4 linked regions of the Drosophila melanogaster genome follow. The protein of the gene in region 2 interacts with the protein of the main gene of each other region in a pairwise test. Each region holds a gene or a part of one and is shown on either strand. Other genes may lie near its edges. The genes, in order: Ubx, E(spl)mgamma-HLH, sc and ac.

Region 1 (5,856 bases), 9.3 Mb from region 2:
TTGTATGCAAATGCCTGGGAATCGAATTGCGAATCGGGAATCGTACAATCTCATTGCGACTTTATGCCAAGACAATCGATGCCTCCCTTTTCGGGCTGCGTGGGCGTGGTGGTGGGGGCTTCCATTGTTAAAACGTGTTTACACATCCAGAAGAAAGAAATAAATAAATGCTGCTGCTATTGAGAGATGTTACTAGTTTCTAAGTAAAAAGTTCTTTTTATCTTAATCGTAATTTTGAAATTAATAGGATTGGTGAAAACTCTACAACAAAAACGTTTCCATTTTCTGGAAGAATTAGATTTCTCAGAACTAAAATACATCAATTCATAATCGAGCAGTAACTCGAGCAGCAAACTCGAGAATGCAGAACGGAGGAAAAAACAATCATCGATGTCGAACAAAAACAAAACTGCGGGTTCCAACTTTCTGCAGGAGGAGGAGCTCCTGCAGGAGGTAACGAGAGCAACGAGAGGAGCAGAAGCCACAGAGGGGAACTGGCGCTGCCCCATTGCATACCCCACCATAACGTAGCAAGTTTGAATATACTCGTACCCGTAAGATTCCCGAGTATATTAGGTAGCAAAATTTTTACGAGCTCATTATGGCTCATTTCGGCGATTGTTGTGATCCTTTTATGCGCCTTCGAATGGCTTCAAATGGTTATGAGGCTATTTCTCTGTCATCCCCGCGAGTCCTTCGCACTCGTGTCCTTCCCCTGGGTCCCAAATGCGGGATAGCGAGTTTCTGGGTCCTGGATTCCCGACTCACGATATTTAGTTTGCAGTTGCGACTGCGATTTTTACTTTACTTTTGCTTTGCTCTGGGTCTTCTCGCCTTTTGGCTTCGCTTTTCCTTGGGCTTTTGGTCGCATATTTAGAAAATGTCGCCGCGTCTCCGAATGTGATTCAAGTGTTTGTCAGTGTGTGTGTGTGTGTGTGTATGTGGTGGTGCGTATCTGTGTTTTGTGCAAGTTTTTGTATCTTTCGCTTGTTGTTGATTTTTAAGACTTGGCACCGAAAATTTGGTCGGCGGAAAATGGCGCGAGCAGGGGTTGGAAAAGTAGAAAAGTAAATTTCTTCTTATAATAAGTTTATTTTGCAAACACTTGTGGCAAGCAACTTTGTTTGGTCGCCGTCGGTTTCTGGCTTAATCTACGAGCCGTTTGTGCGAATGTGGAAACTTTGACAAATATTTGCGAAACTTTCGCGAATGGCGCGGCGTTCTCGGTCTGCAAGACCCCGATCTATTTGCATTATGCATATGAATTTATTAGCATCAATTCCCACCATATTTACATTGACATTAATATCCCATTGAAAGTATTGGCGAACGGATTGAACATTTGGATTCGAATGCGAATTTGAATTTGAATAGGAAAAGGAAAACCGCAGCACACAAATTTTCCGGATCCCTGGCTTCTATTACCGTACAATGCCGAGTTGGGGTTGACTTATTATCAATAAACTAATGCTAAACACGAGACTTTTAATAAATAAAAAATAATGTCTTCATTAATATATTATAATTCGTTTTTAAAGGCCTAATAAAGCCTTTAAGTGATAAGTATCTTTTTATGCCATACCACATTGAATTAAGCTTATAGTTTTTGAGGTAAAGGTAAAAACGATTAATTTACTAATATTTTTCTAAATTGTGAAACAATTTATACGATATTTACTTCCATAGAAATTAAATTAATAATTACAATATTCCGACTATTCTAATAAATATATTTTTTAAAACAAAAACTTTTTTGCACTTCGTTGTGTGCAAATTATTCCCCAAAATATTGAACAATTAAATAATGACCAGCTTAAACTGAATAGAATTAGATACAAATAATTTGCGTAAGCCATATTCTAGCACAAAGATTGGGAACTGAAACTGTAGTCATAAGTGCGCTAAAACCGAGCAAATACGGGATGCGCATCGTTTGGCGTGCAACTGGCAACTGGCGGGCAGCCCGTCGAGCGTTTTTCGCCACTCAGTTGAAGGAAAATCAGCCCTCCTCCATGATGAATTTCCCGCGGCGAGCGCATTTTCCTTCCTCGCGAATGAATGAACGAGAGGCGCCCACCCCGATAAACTTAAACTGAACGAACACTCAAGAGAGAGCGCAAGAGCGCTCAAAAACAATCTGGTTTTGAGCGTTTCGCTGGCTCTCTGTTTCTGTTTTCCACTCGTTTTTAGGCCGAGTCGAGTGAGTTGAGTCGGCAGAGCAAAGTCAAAACACTGGCAACTGCGATTTGGTGCCACATTCGTTCGATGGCAACGGATTGGATAACAGGCGCGCGCTTTGTTTTATTATCCACATTATCAGCGGCATTATTGTTATTATTGGCCCTCAGCGCTTTACCGCTCGCCCACGCGTCCGCCCGTGAATGCCGCGCGGAAAAGTCGCTTTCCACTAGATTGGCGTCCAGATTCGAGGAAATCCGTCAGCAGACGCATTCGCGCCCGTTCGGTCAGCACTATGGCTAATAATCGTTCAAATCGTTAAAACCATAAAAATAATAATAATAATTGCAATAACAATAAACATAGTAATAATCGTAACGCTTACGAGCCTTTGATAGTGCCAAGGCAAGCGCAATCCAAGTATTCAAATTCGAATTCAATTAACAGCAAAGTGCAATTGGCTAAAAACCGAAACCAAAACGCAACAAAGTATACGAAACACTTGTGAAACCGTACAAACAATTGTGGAAAAAAATTTAAAGATTATTAAGATTGAAGTCTCAATAAACATTAGTGCTTAAATAAATTTAAAACGACCCGCGTGGAGAGTGCAATAAAAAGAATAACTTTTGAAATAAATATTTACCAAACAGAAAAATATTTTATAAATATTTAAATAAGTGAAAAACAAATTGGTTACTCTGAAACAAAGAAAATTCAAATTGGTGCTAAAACAAAGGAGAAAAAATTTCAAGAATATTTTACAAATAATAAGACATATTTAACTATATAAAACCAAACTTAATCAACAAAGACTTGGAGTGAAAATATAAAATAAATTTTAAAAAGAGTTTAACAAAATTTGTTTAAATCCAAAGGAGGCAAAGGAACAGCACAGAAAGCGAGGAAACACTCAAATAAAATCCGCCAAAAATCGCAGATCCCTGGAAACCAATTCGTGTGAAATCGGTCAAGCCCCCAACGACTTTTAGCCCGTCTCAGACGGAGCACCGCCAAGATTCTTACCGCCAGCAGCGCAATGAACTCGTACTTTGAACAGGCCTCCGGCTTTTATGGCCATCCGCACCAGGCCACCGGAATGGCAATGGGCAGCGGTGGCCACCACGACCAGACGGCCAGTGCAGCGGCGGCCGCGTACAGAGGATTCCCTCTCTCGCTGGGCATGAGTCCCTATGCCAACCACCATCTGCAGCGCACCACCCAGGACTCGCCCTACGATGCCAGCATCACGGCCGCCTGCAACAAGATATACGGCGATGGAGCCGGAGCCTACAAACAGGACTGCCTGAACATCAAGGCGGATGCGGTGAATGGCTACAAAGACATTTGGAACACGGGCGGCTCGAATGGCGGCGGGGGTGGCGGCGGAGGCGGTGGTGGCGGCGGAGCGGGCGGAACAGGTGGAGCCGGCAATGCCAATGGCGGTAATGCGGCCAATGCAAACGGACAGAACAATCCGGCGGGCGGTATGCCCGTTAGACCCTCCGCCTGCACCCCAGATTCCCGAGTGGGCGGCTATTTGGACACGTCGGGCGGCAGTCCCGTTAGCCATCGCGGCGGCAGTGCCGGCGGTAATGTGAGTGTCAGCGGCGGCAACGGCAACGCCGGAGGCGTACAGAGCGGCGTGGGCGTGGCCGGAGCGGGCACTGCCTGGAATGCCAATTGCACCATCTCGGGCGCCGCTGCCCAAACGGCGGCCGCCAGCAGTTTACACCAGGCCAGCAATCACACATTCTACCCCTGGATGGCTATCGCAGGTGAGTGTCCTGAAGATCCGACCAAAAGTGAGTGTCCACTGCAGCACAAGTCCACTGAAAGTCCCCCGAAATCCCATCCCTTCTGTCCTCATCCCTGCAGTGCCAAAGCTTTGTTGTTTTCCCAGTTGTTATCAAGCTCAACAGATTGCAGCTATGGCAACAAAAGTCATCCTGTGATTAATTGCCGTCTCTGCTCCAATTAACAGACAAGTCAACATGTAAGGCAATATAATGAAGAGCTCGAATCGATCATGGGAAAAACAGATAACAACTTGTAATGTAAGACATATGAAAGCAGGCAGAACAGACCTTTTTATGGCAGGTTCTTAGGGAAAAGACACAACACCTTATTGGCAATCAAAAACTTTAAGCGATTTAAAAAAAACAAAAACTAAGAATGTATTATGGTTATAGGAAGCCAAAAAACAGTCCTAGTTAATATTGTGTATATTCAAATTGGCTGAAAAGTTTAGAAAAAAAGATGTGATAATACTTGGTAAAAAAATTAAAAATTTTAATAAAAAATAGTAAAATTATATTCTTCAGAGGAAAAAAATTAGGACAAGTATTTTAGATTTATTAAGTGTTAAAAAGGCAAAAACCCCCTTGGCTAACTCAAAATTATTTTCCAATAATTCTATTTAAAGGCACCCATTTGCGTGGCCATAGTTTATTCGCTGGCCGCCAATTTCAGCGATTTAATCACTCTAAGCGAGATTTTATGGCTGTGATCTCGCTTAGAGTGATTAAATCGAGTGAAGAGCCATGAGTAGCTAAAATAAAAAAATAAAAAAAACCAGCTCAGACCCTTCGATTTCACCTGCTCCGCTCCGCGACACCTTGCAGCGCTACGTCTGCCTCATAATTTTCAACACTTTGTTTACTAATTTTTGTCACCTTTGCTTTTAATGATGCTCGGCGGTAATTGTTGCAGCGCTGGCAGCCCAAGTGAGCTGCAATTTGTGCAACAAGAGAGCGGCAACGAGCAGCGTGAGTTATGGCATGCGGCTTAAAAAGAGCTGCAAAATAGCAACGGAGAAGTCAAGAAATAGCAAAAGGCAGCAAAGGCAGCCACAGGAGTCGGCGAGAAAGGGCAAGAATCCTTTCAGGACACACACTGCGCGCAGAAGTCGCGCTTATTACGGTTAACTACGCCATTATGTAATTACGTTCAGCCCCTCACCGCTCGACTTTTCCACGGGTTTCAGTCACCAGCCGAGCGAGGCGAACGGCTTGCGTCTGGGCCGAGATTGCCGTTTGGGCCAAGAACAAAGCCAAGAGTAGGTCAGCCGAAGGAGGTCTAGGTGCTCGAAGATCGAACGTAAACTGCACTCAAGCTGGCACTAAAGAAATAGGGAAAATAGAGGGCTTACAAGTTATTATTTTCAAATTAAATAAATTGTTAACTTACAAATTATTACTTTTTTTTTAATTGTTCGAAAGACTCAAAAAATTATTTGTATTATCCGCTAATATTTTTTGTCTGTGTATAAAAGGGAGCTTGCAAAATACCCTTCAAAAATCAATCAAATTTCACTTATAGCCAACGCGAAGAGCTGGTTAAAAAACAATTAAAGTTGAACTAAATTCGAGAGCCTTGCGACAGGTTTTCCATCGGATCGATCCGTTCTGCAAGATGATCAGGGTAATGAAATTTATGCGCCGAGCCTGACCAGTCTGAAGTGTCGGTGATGAATTGGCCAGGCCAAGACCAAAGAAACACCATTGCCGAAAACCCTTCATACAGGGTGTCTTGTATAACACTTCCAGTGTGTCAGACAATCTCTGCGAGATATAACATCTTTAGTGGAACATTCCCTCTAAGAAATTCAAATGCATTCTTACCTGAAGATGATCGGACACGTTTACCTGAACATTTCATCTTAAATTTTTTTTCTTA
Region 2 (3,991 bases):
GGTCAGAGATTTATGACCAAGACTCAGCATTACCGCAAGGTGACCAAACCCCTCCTGGAGCGCAAAAGACGCGCCCGGATGAACCTGTATCTGGACGAACTCAAGGATCTCATCGTGGACACCATGGATGCGCAGGGCGAACAGGTCAGCAAGCTGGAGAAAGCTGACATCTTAGAGCTCACCGTCAACTATCTGAAAGCGCAACAGCAGCAGCGAGTGGCCAATCCTCAATCCCCACCACCCGACCAAGTTAACCTGGACAAATTTCGGGCCGGATACACCCAGGCTGCCTACGAGGTCTCGCACATATTCTCTACGGTTCCCGGCTTGGATCTCAAATTCGGCACCCACCTGATGAAGCAATTGGGTCACCAGCTCAAGGACATGAAACAGGAAGAAGAAATCATCGATATGGCCGAAGAACCAGTTAATCTAGCCGACCAAAAACGTTCAAAGTCTCCGCGAGAAGAGGATATTCATCATGGCGAAGAAGTCTGGCGCCCCTGGTGAAGGGCATTCCATATATACGCAACCAATTAACATTGATAGCTTTACTACTCAGTTTCATTAAGAAACAATCCAAGTTTTCCAAGGTCTAGTGTAAACATTTGCCTCAGAATCGTATTTAGTTGGTAGTTGATTTGATATGATGTGATGTTCCTGTGATAGTTCTTAAGTTCGTATTTTGTATTTGATCTCCCATAGGCTTACTGATTCATGTATTTAATTCATTGTAATTTATTTCATCAACTTTGCAAGAGCTTCCCCACCGAGCTTCCACTTAGCCTCATTAAGAACAAATTTTTGTGTATGTTTTAAAATTATATTTTTCGCTTTACACCATTAAGTATAAGCCATGAACATTTGAATAATAAAATGAACGTAAACTGAAATTTTAAAAGCTTTATATTATTTGGAATATGAACATAAACAAGGTTGCTATAATCCATAGGTACATAGGTACAAAATGTTATAATATATATAATTATTATATTATAATTATAATTTATAAGCTCTTATTTAGCTTTCTTCGATATAAAAGATATATCAGATATATTTAAATATATTTCTAAAATCTAATTTGAAATATATAGAAAATATATATTTTCCTTGGAATTTTAATAATTTATAATTCTAAATACCAAATACCGTTATACTGTCCACTTGAATTCAAGTCAATTGAACTCTCCCCACTCCGTTTACAAATCCCTGTAATGCACCACCCATCCAACCATCCATCCATTACAAAGGTCCTGGAACGCGAGCAACTTACAGCCGAAAGTGTGTCCACAGCGAGCCACACGCGAGCAGCGCTCCAGGATCAGCATCGCTGGCCCCTTTTACATGGCGGATGGAGGGAGAGGCAGAGGTCCTGCCGGGTCGGGGGGATCGGGAAGTCGTACACGCATTAAGCGCACTCGACGCACACGAGCAATGTTCCCACAGGATCATAACAGCCGACCAACAAGTGCAGGATGCCTCTGTCCTTGTCCCTTCCTCTGCCACCAAACACGAACCCGATCCAATTTGGAATGCCAACGGTAAACAGGAAGTTGTCGAGGAATCGCAACGCCTCGTCCTTATCCTTATCCCCATCCCCCGGCGGAGGTCCCCGCTATCGTGGGAACCCCGGAGGACCCCGATGAGATGGCATAATGCAAGCAGTTCATTATCCTTATGCCCCTCACCCTGCCATGCCATAGTCAAATCATAACACACAAATCTAGAAACGGCAGCTGTTCGCTCTGCAAATTCCCATGCCCATGGCCGTGGCCATGCTCGGCTGCTTTTTGCGGGCAGGTGAGCGAGTCGATGTGAGAAACCGAGTAGGAAAGTGTTTCCCACGATCCTGGCAGCGATCCTGCTCCCTGGCCCGTTTGATAAGGGTGCCGGGGCCAACAATAAGAAATCGCCCGAACAATAAGGAGCGGTCTCAAGAAGCGGAAGGGTCGGTACCGAGCAACCCTCATGCCAGCACACGAAGCGTGTCCCCGTCCCTTTTGCTCCTCGAATGCCAGCACACACGACGACGACGACGATCCCTTTGGCCCATTTTTTGGGGGTTGTTTCTGGCCAGCTATATAAGGCCGATCACCGAAGGTCTAGCAACACACAACGACTTCGACTGTCGGAGCAGCAAGAGCTCAAAGAACTCAGCTTACATCGAAACTACAAAAAGAACAATAAGAAACACACAAAATGTCGTCGCTACAAATGTCCGAGATGTCCAAGACCTATCAGTACCGCAAGGTGATGAAGCCCATGCTGGAGAGGAAGCGTCGTGCCAGAATCAACAAGTGCCTGGACGAGCTAAAGGATCTTATGGTTGCCACCTTGGAGTCCGAGGGCGAGCACGTCACCCGTTTGGAGAAAGCCGATATCCTGGAACTTACCGTCACCCATTTGCAAAAGATGAAGCAGCAGCGTCAGCACAAGCGGGCTTCCGGCGATGAGAGCTTGACTCCGGCGGAGGGCTTCCGTTCCGGCTACATCCATGCCGTCAATGAGGTCTCCCGTTCACTCTCCCAGCTGCCCGGCATGAATGTCAGCCTAGGCACTCAGCTAATGACCCACCTGGGACAGCGCCTCAATCAGATCCAGCCAGCAGAAAAGGAAGTCTTGCCGGTGACCGCTCCACTCTCCGTGCACATCGCCAATCGGGATGCCTACTCCGTGCCCATTTCGCCAATCTCCAGCTACGCCGGCAGTCCCAACTCCAATACCAGTTCGACCAGCCATTCCCTGTTGACCACCATCGATGTGACCAAGATGGAGGACGACAGCGAGGACGAGGAGAACGTCTGGCGTCCCTGGTAGATAGGATTACTTCACACCACAACTGAAAAAAAAAAAAACGAAGGAGAGATCATAGAAAGTAAAAGTCTTCCGAGTCACTGGATTTCCACCAGTCGACTCCCACCTAGTTATAAGTAAACACCATAAACACACAAAGCTTTAGATGAGGACGCGCAGTTCATGTGATAACTAAATAAATAATAAATTATATAGCTAAAATTGAAAGATCACGACTTTTTCTGCCACTATCTAGTGACTCACATGCAAATTGCTCAGACACTCCCATGTCCAGACAGTTTCCAATTGTCTGCGGTCTAGAACGGAAACGCTAGAAACGCAATAGCACCTCTCTCTGTCCCCTGTAACTATTCGATCGCCCCACGGATGCACATACACGATCGTCGGACAAAAGAAAGCGAAAACAATGCCAAGGCCGAAACAAGAAGAATTAGGCAGAAGAACGAGAGAAGAAAGAAGTCCAAAGTCCAAAGCCGGGGCTACCGATACCGGGACATAGCCTATAGGCCAGTTGGTGGTTGCAACTCCAACACGTGTGCGGACAATAAGCGAAGGTAACAGAAAATATTAGAGTCTTATCTTTGAGCGTATCTAATCGAGTTACGACAATGTCGCTCAGACTTAGAAGAAAACAAATGGGCATAGAGCCGGCAAGGAACCCGAAAAAAAAACCGAAAACCAAAAAAGGGATCGAGTCATCATTCATCCCGCATCCGTCCTGATTTCGCTTTGTTCTCCTCAATTTTTTGTTGCCGTGATTCTCCCTGGCCACTCGGATAGAAAATCGTGTGCACAATGGTCAAGGTAAGCTATGGGCACATAATTGCTTCGGATCAGGTAAATGACTGCCTTGCCCTAGGGCAACTTTAAGATGGAGGAGCTCCAGCCGGGGACAGGATATCGGTTTTTTTGTTGTTTCTTTTTTATGGGCTCTGCCCGAGCCTTTTTTGATTTTCGTTTTTTTTTTCTGATCTGGCTGACCCAGCATCATTTGGTTATCTGTGTGCCAAGACCAGTAGCCGATTCACAGACGCCTCTGTCTTAAAAATCGACGCAGGGCAGATCGAGGGAATAGTCAACGAGATCGGTATCAGGATTGGCTTGGGACTAGTCTGTGCTGGCGGGGTGTAATAAATTTAAAAAGGAACTAAATTTATAGAGATTTTTCAGCTGATTA
Region 3 (4,552 bases), on a different chromosome or scaffold from region 2:
ATGGTTTTCCTGAAGAACAAGTCTTTCGAAATAATAAAAAAAACATTATTAAGTTTCCGAAAATATATAAAAGACTTCCACAAAGATAGAGTTAAATTAACAATATTATATACTAAAGGAAATGAAGCATTTATGAAATATAAAATTTAAATCATTCAAAATTAAAAGATTCCTACACTAGGTACTATAATTTTGAAGGTAATATCCAATGCTTGTTCAAGGTATGAGTGGCATTTACATGCAAGCGGTGACCGGAATTGGACCTATGATTAATCAATTGTACCGAACACGCGATTATACCAACCTTGCTTATGACTCTCCGCTTCAAGGAAAAAAGGATCGCGTATATGCATTATATGCATTCCACTTCAGTTAAATGTCCGCATACACCATAGATCACACAGTTCACTGAGTGGAGTTTCTAATGACGACTTCAACCCTATTCTAGGCATGTCACCGGCATTTCTCCCAACCATTTATTAAAATGCTTCAATGGAATTTTGGAAAATGCGAAAATTTAAATAGAACATTGTGCTGCCAAAATTTCTGCAACACTCAAGAACAATGATAGTGTTAATGATGGTAAAATAATGGAAACCAACTACCGATCCCTCCGTTACAATGCAAAAACTAAAGAGTGGAGACTCCAAGCGAAGTTCAGCATGCAAAAAAGGTATTGGAAATGGTGAAAGGATTTTATTTATAGGAACAACACAGAGAAGCGCCGTTTGCTGGTCATGGTTGAAAAGGTTTTTTTGTTATCAGGATTTCGGTTTTCGCTTTGGTTTTGGTTTCGGATTCGGTTTTTGATTTTGGGATCCGGGGATCTAAAATTTGCCAAATAGAAGTGAAGAAGTGCTATTGCTGATGATTTGGCAAAAGAAAAATGCTGGCAGAAGCAAACGAGGGTAACGAGTTGAGGACAATAAAAATATTACACCTGGTCGCCGATTTGGCATCTTTTCACTCGCTCATCGATTGATGATCGTGACAAAATGAACCGATTTTTGTGAACAGAGCGGAAGTTACAATTTACAGTCGCCGTTTAGCACGACACAGTGGCCAATGGCAAGTTACAACAGTCTGAAATAATCAATTTATTATTTCAAAGAAGATGTATGAAACTTCATGTATGTCTAGTATTTCTTTACCTTAGACCGCATTATGTAATAGAACAAATAACAAGTATACACCGTTAAAAGTCAAATGTGTGAACATTTAATCAAACCCAGAACTAAATTATTCCCAAACAAATTAATATATTTAAAGCAACATCCCAGTAGTTCTAGAAAAAACACAAGTAGCCACAAACAAAGAACCGCAGTTTTCACTGCAAACTTCCTTCTAGAACTTGTGTCACATCCCTTTGATTTACTTAACAAAAAATTGTGATCCTTTTGATAATTTAATTGGAGAAATAAGTGAAATTGTTTGAACACCTTTAGGGAGCGTACTCCGAATGTCTAATAAGGAGGATCCCAGGATCTTCTGTCGATCCCTTGGATCCGTCCGGCGCTAATGAATAGAAGCGTGCGTGAGCTGCACATAAAATTGGCGATCGCGACTTTTGCTAAGTTAATTAACACAGAAATCAAATTGCTGGCGTGCCGTAGCAAAAAGAGCCCTCACTCAGATACCTTGATCGTTTTTCGATATTTCGAGTTGATATTTTGAGTTTAAAATTTGAGTGTTTCTTTTGGACTGTCGAGTGAGAACAGTTTTCCTGTGGGATACTCGAGTACCTGAGACAGAGAAAGAGAGAGAGACTACCTGTGGCTCACTCACTTCGAGTTCCCTACCTGTGCAGGTAGCTCTTGCCGTCACTCTCTCTCTCTCTTTCTCTCCGATTCTCTCGCCCGTTTCTCTGCCTGAGTGTTGTGCAGAGAGTTGCATAAAGGGTACATAACGCGAGGGTTTAGGACGAAGGGACTCATTCTTGTGTAAGGTGTCAAACGATCAAGTTCAAGTATTGTACTCTGTTCATTTATTTTTTTCTGTTGATCGTTATCCGGAAAGTTAAAGAAAGCTCCGAGTGTGTTAATGAAAAATAATAATAATACAACGAAAAGCACTACCATGTCATCGAGTGTGCTGTCCACCAACGAAACGTTTCCAACGACCATCAATTCGGCAACGAAGATCTTTCGTTATCAGCACATAATGCCAGCCCCTAGTCCATTAATTCCCGGTGGCAATCAAAATCAACCCGCTGGCACAATGCCAATTAAGACTCGCAAGTATACACCAAGGGGTATGGCACTGACCAGATGCTCTGAATCAGTATCATCTCTATCGCCTGGTTCCTCGCCGGCTCCATATAATGTAGACCAATCCCAGTCGGTCCAAAGGCGCAATGCTAGAGAACGAAATCGTGTAAAGCAGGTGAACAACAGCTTCGCCAGGTTGCGGCAACATATACCACAATCCATAATCACGGATTTGACAAAGGGTGGTGGTCGAGGACCTCACAAAAAGATCTCCAAAGTAGACACACTGCGCATTGCCGTCGAGTACATCCGGAGGCTTCAGGATCTGGTGGATGACCTAAATGGGGGCAGCAATATTGGTGCCAACAATGCAGTCACCCAGCTTCAACTTTGTTTGGATGAGTCCAGCAGTCACAGTTCGAGCAGCAGTACTTGCAGTTCCTCAGGGCATAATACCTACTATCAAAACACGATCTCTGTCAGTCCTCTGCAACAACAGCAGCAGCTACAGAGGCAGCAGTTCAATCACCAACCGCTGACAGCGCTCTCATTAAATACCAACTTGGTGGGCACATCCGTACCAGGTGGAGATGCAGGATGCGTATCCACCAGCAAAAACCAGCAAACCTGCCACTCGCCAACATCATCATTCAACTCCAGCATGTCCTTTGATTCAGGCACCTACGAAGGAGTTCCCCAACAAATATCCACCCACCTGGATCGTCTGGATCATCTGGACAACGAATTACACACGCACTCCCAACTTCAGCTAAAATTTGAACCGTACGAACATTTTCAATTAGACGAGGAGGACTGCACCCCCGACGACGAGGAGATTTTGGACTACATCTCTCTATGGCAGGAGCAGTGACTTAATCCCCAAAATTTACCACCACGCCCTATTTTCTTCTAGTCAATGTTGAGTTGAACCAAGTGCCTCAAATTGTAAATAACACTAATACAAAAACAACATACCCCCAATTTTTTTTTCTTACTTTAAGCTATTTTTTTACATTGTTAAGAACCACGAGACCAGTTTCAAATTTATATATTTATGAAATAACTATAGCATGGAAACGAAAACATATTTTTTTGCTAATACAATTTTATGTTAATTAGTTTTTGGTGGAAAAATAAAATGAAAAAATTAAACGAAAAATCATATTTAAGTTCTTTTCTCAAAGGGGATCCATCTATTGATCAGGTTTGTAAAACATTCGGGTACTACTTGCATTGCCTTGCAGTGCCGATGGGACCATGTGCAGCCGTTATGTACAATTAAGGTTGCTTTGCATTGGTTTTACAAAATCACTCTTATATCCAAAAATCATTAATACGAATTACAGATAACGCAAAACATAGATCAGTATTTGGTTTTAGACCAGTAGTTTCCTATTTCTTCAGGTAGTTTCTAAGAATGTCAAATTATCGCAGGTAAGACGATGACACCTGTGACACGTGCCACGAGGTTACTAGTTTAAAAGGTTACTAGTTTTACAATTACGACTTTGAAATTCAGATCAGATATTGAACTTAAAAAAGGAAAAGTGTCGAAAAAGCAATTTACAATTTATTCAATATAAGAGGAGTTCGTATTTATGTATACATTACTACTTAAATATATAAAGTGAGGTAGTTTTAACCCGATCAACACTTTTAAGACTTTTTCTTTTGAATTTGCTCAGCTTAACTATAGTTCCTAGTATTCCCTATAATGTACGGCCTTACAAAAAAGTATTTTACCCACTTTTTACACTTCTGAAAAAGTTAAATGCAAACACCTTACCCCAAACAATAACTAAGTTCTTCACTCCCACGCACCGTTGAGATGTCAGTCCGTTGGAATAAACCTCTTCCACTGGCCAGACAATAAATCACGTTGCATTAGAAAAACAAACGCATGGGAGAATGCGACTATAGACTATATTTTGACACATTAAAGGGCATCACAGACAAAGGACCTCATTGTCCTTAGGATCGCTGGATGCTCCAAAGGAAGTGATAAGGGATAGGGGATCTTTTCTTTCAATGTCAACGCTGACACTTGACAACTCAATGCAATTGTTTCGAATCATGAAAATGGGTTCTGGAATACCATTATTTTCTTTTGCGAGACTCTGTAGGCAAGGCTTAACGTTCAGCTCCGGAAGAACTTTCACCTTTCCTAAAGAATCTAAAGAAAGGCAACCTTTTTTTCAGCTGCGTTTTTTATTTTATTTGGTTCTGATTTAAAAGCGTAGTTTAATAGATTTCTCGGCGCCCAGGCCAGCAACATTGTGGTACAAAAAACCAGCCGCCTGCATTAATCAGACCCCAGATATTTGACCAAATTATAGGCTCGCCCA
Region 4 (3,968 bases), on a different chromosome or scaffold from region 2:
ATAAATCAATAACTACAAATTATCACATTAAAATGTGCTTTATTAACAATGTATCGGAATAAAAAACGTATTTTCTTTCTCACAGTGTTTCGCTGCTCTCGATGTTCGAGGCCAAAACCGTGGACCATTCATAAATTTTAAGCCAACTCATAAATACGGCAGCAAAGGCTATCAAGGTGTTGGTCTTACAATATCTCGCCGTGATGATGCCAGAAACTTCTTCCTTTCTGATTTAATGCAACGCCAAAACAAATTGTTATATTGGAGCCGCTTGCCTCCAGCAATTAATCAAAGCTCTCGCACTACAATTAATCAAAAATCGCCATCTTTCTTCGTTGAATTTCAAAAGGAGCTTGGCTTTTGCTCCTGGCCATAAATATTATTGCCAGTGGTGATATAAGAAATCGACCAAATAGAATTGGCGGCGTTAAAACGCTCACCTTAGATGTGACATCGTTTCGTTGACATATTCGCGTTGCTCTCATAAATCAGATATTTATATGGAGTGGGAAGTTGGGGGACTCAAAACCAAAACCATGGGCGGCTTTCGTCCTTTCATCGTCCGGAGATCGGTAATCTCTGGATGGCAATTTGATGGCCATGAACAGTTGACAGTTGACTTTTTATTTATTCAGCAGCAACATTTAATTCAATGGCACCTAGGCGTAGGCTCTACAGTTCTAAGCTCCCAATTTTGAAGACCCTAATAAACATGAGTACATACTTTGTACATACTTTTCATTTATCGGCTAGAATACCTGTACGATCAACATTGGTACTGAAATGTACGGAAGCTGTCCTGTAATCGAGGCCTTACTGTGTCGCAAGCATGCCGCTTTAAGAAGTGTGGAATAAATGAAACAACGTCAAGTAATCGGCAGACCGAGTCAATATTAATGACGACTTCATCTTTATTCGGTTGATACGCCATATATTCAGATCTCAGTTCTTCCCCCCTTAAGTTTATCCCGTCACGATTTTTCGGTTTTCTGTCGCAGGGTCTTAGTAACATTTATTGTACTATTTAGTCGTTATCAAGCAGAAAAGCTCAAGAAGAGCACTTGTGGCGCTAAGCGATATTCAAAGCAAAAAATAATAATAAAATTGCAAATTCATAAACCTGGTTGACACTGAATACCTTGTCTCAATGCTTCGCGGCAAATTTATATTACATCAACACGGATTTTGCAAGGTCGACCGGATATGTTTGATTTTATTAGCCTCTGGACATCTGGTATGTCTGTGCTTAGATGCCCTGTGATGTCCTTTTCACATGTAATGCTATGCAATCCCCCGGGGCTACAGCAACGAAGTGTTAAACGAGGCTCAGTGTGAGTTAGTGCCAATACAAATCTATTTCGGCACGGTTTCCTAGCGTGCAACCAGAATTCTGACAATGGTTTTAAGAAATAATGGGGACCTCCTAAATGCTTTCAAAATGCTTTCGGCTGAGAGGAACAACAACTGATACGTTGGGCATAAAGGCCCCGGGGCATTAGAAGTGTTAATAGAAAAGTGCCTCCGGCTGATCAGGTTTCGTTGCAGGACCGAATGGATCGCCGCCTGAGGTGTTGATGAGCTGGCCTTGAAAATTCCTACGACTTTGGATTCGAGCGACAATGGTCTAGTGTTTAAGATAATGTCCGAATGATCCAGGGATCGGAAGGTCATCAGTACATAAAATAAATTAAATTAAATGTATTAACATAAAATTAAAGATTTTTTAAAAGTCTAAAATACCTAGCCTTGTTAATTAAAGATTATTTTTTCGTAAACACTTTTGGTAGTGTATAAATTGTAAATGTCCCCATTTTTATAATTGTAATGACAGTCTATTCCACTAATTTTGTTGTATTTTGTTAGTTATACAAATTGGATGGCCACTTTCAATAGGAGATACAGCTTTTTACTTCGGAGGTGTTTTTACTTGGCTCTGATGTCTGGACCTTGTTGCCTTTTTAAACCGGTTGGCAGCCGGCACGCGACAGGGCCAGGTTTTCGTTTGGGGACGACAGGCAGCTGAAAATGAGCAAAAACACTCAGAAACTCTTCCCACTCGACAACGGGAACACTCAGGTCACCAACAGCTGCGTTTTACAGAGAGAACGAGAGATAATATTACTACCTCTCTATTAAAATCAGAGAAAACACTCATCTCAAGAGACGATCCTTCAGTGATGATGCTGTTGCACCTTTTCCAGGGGCAGGTAGGTAGTCACGCAGGTGGGATCCCTAGGCCCTGATACCTATAAATAGCCTGAACGGAACGGGGAAGGGCATCAGAACAGAGCCAGCGCTGAAGCAAGGAGCATCGTCACACAATAACGTTATACTATCTCTTAAAATGGCTTTGGGCAGCGAAAATCACTCTGTTTTCAACGACGACGAGGAGTCATCTTCGGCCTTTAATGGACCCTCTGTTATCCGGAGAAATGCCCGGGAACGCAACCGCGTAAAGCAGGTCAACAATGGCTTCAGCCAACTACGACAACATATCCCTGCGGCCGTAATAGCCGATTTAAGCAATGGTCGCCGGGGAATTGGTCCCGGCGCCAATAAAAAACTGAGCAAAGTTAGCACACTGAAAATGGCAGTAGAGTACATACGGCGCTTGCAGAAAGTTCTTCATGAAAACGACCAGCAGAAACAGAAACAGTTGCATTTGCAGCAGCAACATTTGCACTTTCAGCAGCAGCAACAGCATCAACACTTATACGCCTGGCACCAAGAGTTGCAGTTGCAATCTCCAACTGGCAGCACAAGTTCCTGCAACAGCATTAGCTCTTATTGCAAGCCAGCAACATCGACGATTCCGGGAGCAACACCTCCTAACAATTTTCATACCAAGTTGGAAGCCAGTTTTGAAGACTACCGTAACAATTCCTGCAGTTCTGGTACTGAAGATGAGGACATCCTCGACTATATATCACTCTGGCAGGACGACCTGTAAAAAAACAGATCAAATCTTCAGCTATTGCTAGTCGCACCCAACCATAACACACATCAAACCATTGATTGGCCAACAAGTATTACCTCAGCCACAAAGTATTTATATTCCCTAGAACTACCTTTTTGCCTTATAAATTAGTATTTAAGGTTTTATATAGTTTCTAAGGATAGTTTCTAATGGAAGACAATTTATATTTAAGTTTTTTTTTATAGCATACATTGAGGACATTAAACTGATATATATAAAATTTTAAATGAGTTTTTATTGTAAACAAAATTAAACGGTAATTAAAGTGAAACAAATTTATGTACAAAAGGAGTAAAATTCAGAAAAGTTTTAATGAACAAATGCTTTATGAATATGGGCGTAGCAATGTTTTGATACAAACTTGATCCTGTCCTGTATACCACAGGACACGCTTCCTTTTACCTGGTACATTCCTTTAAACGATCCTAGTATACGCTTTATTCGGGGTAAGCCCGAAAAAAGTATTCGAAACTGTAACCGTTAAGTATTTACAGATCACTAGCCAATGAAGATAAATTACAATAACATTTTGTAAACACTTTTGATCGAAAACGCCGATTTGCATAAATAAAGTTGGATTGAGTAGGGTGAAAAAGGCAAAATATTTACCTGCTGCATTTTTGCATATGAACCGGTCAAGGTAATAAGATCCTGAGAATTCACAATTCCGGAGAGATCGATCGATCGATCGATGAATGAACTAATTTTGAGTTATTCCCGCAATGCAGCCGAAACAAGCGAAAAAACAACGGTCGGCAATTGTTCAGATCGCCCCCGACAACGTTCAGAAAAATGAAAATAAGATCTGCTCAGGCATTCTGCACCGGAAGCCGCCGCGATGAAGCTGCTGCAAAAAAAACTCACGCAAGATACATATACTCTAAAAACAAAAGAAACATGGTTCATGGGTCTTTTCGGCAAATTCTTCACCATATTAGATCACTACATCACACACCAATCTATTCATTAGCAACAATAAAACACTAATAGA

What was found.
Region 1: the proteins of E(spl)mgamma-HLH (region 2) and Ubx interact in a protein complementation assay, tested with the Drosophila melanogaster proteins (one study listed by BioGRID).
Region 3: the proteins of E(spl)mgamma-HLH (region 2) and sc interact in a two-hybrid assay, tested with the Drosophila melanogaster proteins (3 studies listed by BioGRID).
Region 4: the proteins of E(spl)mgamma-HLH (region 2) and ac interact in binary tests that used the Drosophila melanogaster proteins (3 or more experiments, as listed by UniProt).

What each region holds. Positions count from the first base shown.
Region 1 is NT_033777.3:16,730,825-16,736,680, reverse strand, and holds the start of Ubx (ultrabithorax), read left to right. Parts: upstream 1-2,254; 5' UTR 2,255-3,217; coding exon 3,218-3,983; intron 3,984-5,856. UniProt on the Drosophila melanogaster protein: Sequence-specific transcription factor which is part of a developmental regulatory system that provides cells with specific positional identities on the anterior-posterior axis. Binds the consensus region 5'-TTAAT[GT][GA]-3'.
Region 2 is NT_033777.3:25,997,744-26,001,734, forward strand, and holds E(spl)mgamma-HLH (enhancer of split mgamma, helix-loop-helix), read left to right. Parts: upstream 1-2,107; 5' UTR 2,108-2,199; coding exon 2,200-2,817; 3' UTR 2,818-3,018; downstream 3,019-3,991. Other genes in the region: E(spl)mdelta-HLH (enhancer of split mdelta, helix-loop-helix), read left to right, coding at 1-510. UniProt on the Drosophila melanogaster protein: Transcriptional repressor of genes that require a bHLH protein for their transcription. May serve as a transcriptional regulator of the Achaete-scute complex (AS-C) genes. Contributes to the neural-epidermal lineage decision during early neurogenesis.
Region 3 is NC_004354.4:394,137-398,688, forward strand, and holds sc (scute), read left to right. Parts: upstream 1-1,923; 5' UTR 1,924-2,040; coding exon 2,041-3,078; 3' UTR 3,079-3,361; downstream 3,362-4,552. UniProt on the Drosophila melanogaster protein: AS-C proteins are involved in the determination of the neuronal precursors in the peripheral nervous system and the central nervous system. Also involved in sex determination and dosage compensation.
Region 4 is NC_004354.4:367,750-371,717, forward strand, and holds ac (achaete), read left to right. Parts: upstream 1-2,281; 5' UTR 2,282-2,344; coding exon 2,345-2,950; 3' UTR 2,951-3,198; downstream 3,199-3,968. UniProt on the Drosophila melanogaster protein: AS-C proteins are involved in the determination of the neuronal precursors in the peripheral nervous system and the central nervous system.